Daphnia pulex: one gene and its partner. Each later gene encodes a partner of the first gene's protein in a complex. Links are inferred from orthologs where the notes say so. Each region holds a gene or a part of one and is shown in the gene's direction. Other genes may lie near its edges.

Region 1 (2,916 bases):
CGTTCGAGATTTGGAGTCTGTCAAAATAGTCTTGTCGTTAAACTCAAATAATGAATCAATTGTAATCGCTTGTCTACATACAGTACATTCAGGCACACAATGCCGAGATAACGGCTTGCGCCTTTTCGCCTGACGGGAAAAATTTAGCGTCGTACTCTAGCACAGAGAACAGGCTGTCGTTTTGGCAGGTAAGAAACACGTGTTTCAAATAGACCCGTCTCTGCACCAGCAACATTTTCAATGATTCGACATGTTTAATTGTTTGTTCCCGTTTGTGTAGCAATCGGCGACGGGTGTGTTTGGATTGGGAGCGGTTCAGACACGCTGTGTTAAAACATACACCACTGATCCCGTGCCGCAGTGTGTAAGACCTGGAAGTACGATACCGTTGAGAATGGCTCGTCTTCAGTGGCACAGTGGCAAAACAGTTGCTATCATGCTTTCTGATGGCTCCGAAACGCGTTACCATCTCTGACGAGTGATGATGAGAAGTCAGAACTTACTTTTTAAAATGAAGAAGTCGAATTCCAACCATAAATCAATGAAATAGTCGTCGCTTCTATTGCGAGCTCGATGTTAGTTCTAAACAGTTTCTATGTCTGGATGTCTTCATATGTAATAAACTCTAATCAAAACACTTGCCATTTCCGGCCATTTATTTTTAAATTATATTTTATGACTTTAAAATGTATTTTCTATTTAATCAGTTATCTTGTTTGTATTATTCTGGAAGGAAAAATGTGGTCGTCGGAGGAGAGTTTCCCATCGTGCTAGCCAATCGTGTAGGAAAATTAATGAAAACGTATCAAACCAACCAGCAAAGCATTTTATACTTGCAAGTACTATTCTCCGAGTCAGTTCCTGTACTTTTTTTCATCACAGCCGCGTTTTGTTCTAAGGGTTGACAGAGACGATAGGCGATTCCCACACAGCCGAAACATTCGAAAAAAAAAGTAGATGAGTGTCAACACTCATAATTCATAAATAGCACGGAAAAGTCCCGGAGTTGCGCTGGTTTTTTTCGTATTACCTTTTATGTGGCATTTTCTGGTAAAATGAATAAACAGTATCGTTTTCCGCCTGCTATCCTTCTCCGCTGACATCCCCACGCGGCCACGCCCAATGTGCTCAAATTGGCTGACGCGACCCTGTAGGAATTCTCCATGTCCATAAGGCTTCGTCAGAGGTTTTCCATCAACCGTCTGCTTGTCGAACAAAGGATTGGGTCTACATAGGGTGTCAAGCGTAATAACAATTTTCGTTCTGCTATCGGCCGCCGTGGTGCGCATCGGCGTAAACTGCGCACGACTTTTTTTGCTCGACTACTACTTTTTCCTTGGAATAACATCTATAGCTCTGCTTTTAGTCTTTTGGTGCGGAGCAGGTAAAAATAAAATAGACTTTTATACCCTTCTACGGACAGATGGCGTTGCGATGAACAGCTGAGAGCAACAGCTGACGAGTTGAGACTCTTGACTTGTAGAGAATAAACGATTTATTCAACTGTAAATTTAAATATTTTACTTTCCCTCTGCGTCTTAATTGTGAGACAAATATTTCACGCTACAGTAATGGTTTTAACTAAAGAAATAACCATTCCGAGTGAAGAAGAATTAACAGTTCAAGAAGTAGAAATTAGTACCCCAGGACTGAGGGCTGCATCTTTTCATATGGGCAAAGCATGTGAAAATGTTAACAATGTATGTATAATTTGATATCAACTTCTAAGCACAACAGTTTATCATGGTTTTAATCTTTTATCATGCATGAAAATCATGTATTTTTATTTATTTTCTGAAATATGAAGCCAACTAACTTTTCATATGAGAAATTGTAAGATTGTTTGTTCTTTTATGAATAGGAATTTATGCTTTGCCGTCAAGAATGTCAGGATCCTCGTAAATGTCTGAATGAAGGAAAAGCTGTTACTGCCTGTTCCCTTGATTTTTTTCGCAAGATTAAAAAGAATTGTGCAGTTGAGTTCACACAATTTGCAAATTGTTTGGATCGCTCAAGTCCTGATTTCAGCTTTAAACCGTAAGCTATAAGTTATTGGCATTTTCAATCAGAACTTTTATTTAATCTTGTTTTGTTTCTTATCCTGAATATTTCTTGCTTCTGTAATTATTAGGTGTAGAAAAACACAAGCAGTCTTTGACAAGTGTATGCTTGATAACTTGAAAATCGAACGTCCGTATTTTGGTTACTTTTCTGAAGTAAAAGTTCATCACACAGAGAGACCAAGACCTGAAGTGAAAAAGCAAGAATATCCGGACGCGCCACTACCAGTCCCTGATGATTTACCCTTGCAACCAGCTAAGTTTGGCAAGCGTTCACTCTAATAGAATATACCCCAATACAAAGATATGTATTGAAAAGTAGGAAGACTTGTAATACATGAATGTAATGAAGACAAGATTCAATTTTACTATGTTCCATGTCAAAGAAATGTTGTTGAGTTGACATTGATCATACTCAACGAAACACTTTGTATTTGGCAGGTAGTGGAAAATCCGGAATTCGGAAACAGATTAGCAGAACGTTTTGGGTATCGTGGGGCGTCCCTAAACTGCGAAAGCGAAACGCTTAAAATGCGGAACAGCTGTACGAAACGGACCAAAATTTTGGCCCCGTTCCGCGGGACCTAATGCCGATGGGCATACTAAAGAGCGAAACGTATTTTGAAACTAAAATTTTTCACCCTCAGGGTCCAAATTGACGGAGTATATAAGGCCGCCATGTATTTCATGAATCCAGCTATGGTATTGTGTCTGTGTTTCGAAATTCATTTCGCTAGTAGACCCTAAGGGTGTAGACATACTTTATTTCAGCTCAAAGACAAAAAACAAAACAGAGGTGTTGTAAGCTACCCTTTCCTCCAGCCTGTACACGCCCCCATTATTCAGATTTATTTTA
Region 2 (2,811 bases), on another chromosome or scaffold:
AGATTTTCCTACTAAAAACAAAAAAGAAAGAACATCTTTATCTATATATGAACATTAAAATATCGATGAAATTGTGTAAATGGAAATTAATCGTGGTGTAAAAATACGAAAAACGTCAAGAAAGGATTTAAAATCGAATCGAACCTTCTTACGCCACCTAGCCTTCTGTTTCTGAATCAATTGAAGGAGAAGAGTTTGAATGTAATTTTCATTAACTAAAATCTTTCATTTGTGTTAAAAAACGCTATCACGATTACTTCACGTTACCACGTTGACTACTTCAGAAAATTCTTAACCCTTTGATAATTTCTTTACATCATAAAAAAGTTCAAAAACATACATAAAAATAAGTAATAGAAAACGAGATCCATACCTACTGATGTCTTCAGATGTTTTTGATTTATTTTGTCCATTCCAACAAGTATGTTCTGTCCATTGTTGGTTCAACACTTGGATCTGTTGTTGAGCTCCAGCTAAATCTTGCAAAACTTTTTTTCTTTGAATTTCACAACTTTCATGACTAACAGAAAATTTTGCATTGGATATTGTGTCAATCAGTGAAAATAGCCTTTGTGTCACAACATTTGCTTGGCCCATTCTACTAGACTCTTCATTTGAAATCATCACCTTTGTTTCACTTATGATTCCAGGTACTTGTTTCTGTTAAGTATTGTAAAACCAAACTGTCATTTAAATTTTAAAACAAAAAATTATTAACTGTAAATATATCAGCAGTACCCTGTAAAATGACACTTCTTTTTCCAAAGCTTTGATGTAGATTATCTGCTTCTGAATCATTCCAGTTAAAATGTAATCTGAACTATTTCCTTCAATCAAAAGTCCACTTTTTTGAGGTACTGGGCTCTTGAAGAGAGCTTTACGAGCAGAAAGTGATTTTGTCTCTGAATTTTCTGATGAAGAAAGATCACGTCTTATTTCTGATGCCTGTACACAAAGAACAGGAACCAATTCAGTTTTGATTATACCATTAGAAATAGTTAATACAACCTTCAATCCACTTCTATAAATTTGTTGATCTGAACTATCACTTTCAGACAAAAATTGTTTAAGTTGATGAACCGCTTTGTAGTATTCATCTGGACTATCACTCTTCCGGAAATCCATTTTTGAAGTTTTTGTCACTTAAGAATTAAGACAAGTATCAAAAGTAGTAGTTACGTAAACTGAAAAATATCACCAGCAGTGAATATGTTTGTTTTGATTTGAATCATCTTTTGCAATTCCATTTTCACGTCGCTATGACAACGACAACTGCACTTTGCTGCAGTTGCCATACATTTATATTAATTCAATAAACTCACAGAAACTAAAAAAAAGGTATCAAAATAACATCCCTTATTCCTTTGAAGTTTGAACAGTAAGAAAATATTTTTATCTTCAGCATTAATATTTTAATTACCTTCTCAGAAAATTTGTGATTATTGCCATCTTCCGCCAGATGGTGATTGTATAGCTGATTCAGGTGTTTACAACAGACAACAGTATCCAGCTGTTAGCAAAGATGGATGCCACCATCAAGCAAGATTTGCCACCTCCTGGAGGATATGAAAAAATTCAGTATGCTCGTAATCCAGCAAAAACATTCTTTAGAGGTATGTCTCGATTACATTTTCGTGGAATAGTTTTGATTTATTTACCTTCAATGTATGTGGTTTTTTATGTTCAAATAGTACAGACCTTACATCTTAATTTGCTAATTACAATATTTTTACAATGTGTATACAGGAGGAAGGTTGCTTGCTGGATTTATAATTCTCAATGGCTGCACCACCTACTATTACTTTAACCATCTTTATCCTGGAATTCTCCATCGGAGGGTTGAAAAAAAAGGTTCTCACTTAGCAACCTTGCCTTTGCTGTTGGCTGAACAGGATAGAGCGTAAGCATTAATTTAAACTATAAATTTCATCAGTATACAACAATCTAATTCTTAGAAGTAATTTCCTTAAATTTTTTGTAGATTCTTAAAGCACTGCAGAGCTTTGCGAGATGAAGAGGAGAAACTAATGGCCAATGTCCCTGGCTGGGAGGTATGCATATATCCTGTATTTTTGTAATTTTTCTATATTAAAAAAATGGTCATCATTTCATTCAGGTTGGCAAGTGGAATGGTCAACCAATTTTTAAAACACTTGATAAGGATGTTTTTTCTAATCCAATCCTTAGTGAGTACTATTGCCATGCCCCTTATATGGATTTCTACAAGAAAGCTATGGAAGAGGCAATCCAAGTTTAGTTTTCATTCCTGATGTAAATGTGAAAACAGGAAAATCTAGTAATGAGTATTGAATGGTACTGTGCGATCTTTGAGTTTTGGAGATGTTCTCTTTTAGTCTCATAAATTATAATTATGATATGCTTGAAGGTTAAACATTGACATCTAGTCAATTAAATTAATTAGGTGAAACATATTTAAAAAGGAGTTTAAAAAAACAAGTTTTATCATCTGTGGAGAAAATATCAAGAATTTGGCCAAGAGGCATGATATAGTCGGATGAAGCAAAGACGTTGTAAGCTTTACGTTGTCTGCATTTTTTTTAAAGCTAACCTCCACCAATAGACGTGAGGCATCATTAATTAGACTTTCGTGTTTTATACGAACATTTATTACTTAACATAGGTAGTGGGGAATGTTTTTAATGTACCGTCTGATTTTATTTGTTTCTATAGAAGAACAGCACCAGCCGAATATCAGAGAATTGTAGGTTGAATAGCAAATTTAAAGGTCTAGTTAGAATGACATTTTCATTGCCCAATATAGGATACTCCAATTCCGCAGAGAGCTGTGTG

Evidence for each region. The genes of interacting proteins can lie anywhere in the genome.
Region 2: the proteins of NADH dehydrogenase [ubiquinone] 1 alpha subcomplex subunit 8-like (region 1) and NADH dehydrogenase [ubiquinone] 1 alpha subcomplex subunit 13-like are in contact, whole or in part, in a cryo-EM structure (PDB 8ESZ), measured with the Drosophila melanogaster proteins. The link is inferred for Daphnia pulex from reciprocal best matches to the Drosophila melanogaster genes ND-19 and ND-B16.6. Residues at the interface, in NP_001163296.1 of Drosophila melanogaster: Val2, Ile3, Thr4, Asn5, Asn6, Thr7, Thr8, Leu9, Pro10, Glu11, Glu12, Leu15, Asn16, Val17, Gln18, Glu19, Leu20, Leu27, Arg28, Ala31, Phe32, Leu34, Gly35, Asn42, Phe45, Met46, Arg49, Asp54, Pro55, Arg56; in NP_001284943.1 of Drosophila melanogaster: Arg63, Asp64, Ile66, Glu67, Met68, Ser70, Ala71, Asn73, Val74, Ile75, Phe76, Pro77, Ile78, Val80, Ala81, Glu82, Arg83, Asp84, Arg85, Phe87, Leu88, Arg89, Leu91, Arg92, Arg93, Arg95, Val110, Gly111, Val118, Glu124.

The regions. Positions count from the first base shown.
Region 1 is NC_060020.1:9,014,402-9,017,317, forward strand, and holds NADH dehydrogenase [ubiquinone] 1 alpha subcomplex subunit 8-like, read left to right. Parts: upstream 1-1,412; 5' UTR 1,413-1,571; coding exon 1,572-1,700; intron 1,701-1,861; coding exon 1,862-2,037; intron 2,038-2,131; coding exon 2,132-2,342; 3' UTR 2,343-2,416; downstream 2,417-2,916. Other genes in the region: WD repeat-containing protein 7-like, read left to right, coding at 84-188, 281-475.
Region 2 is NC_060018.1:5,771,347-5,774,157, forward strand, and holds NADH dehydrogenase [ubiquinone] 1 alpha subcomplex subunit 13-like, read left to right. Parts: upstream 1-1,453; 5' UTR 1,454-1,522; coding exon 1,523-1,613; intron 1,614-1,746; coding exon 1,747-1,900; intron 1,901-1,981; coding exon 1,982-2,051; intron 2,052-2,116; coding exon 2,117-2,257; 3' UTR 2,258-2,311; downstream 2,312-2,811. Other genes in the region: paramyosin-like, read right to left, coding at 374-660, 739-945, 1,009-1,125.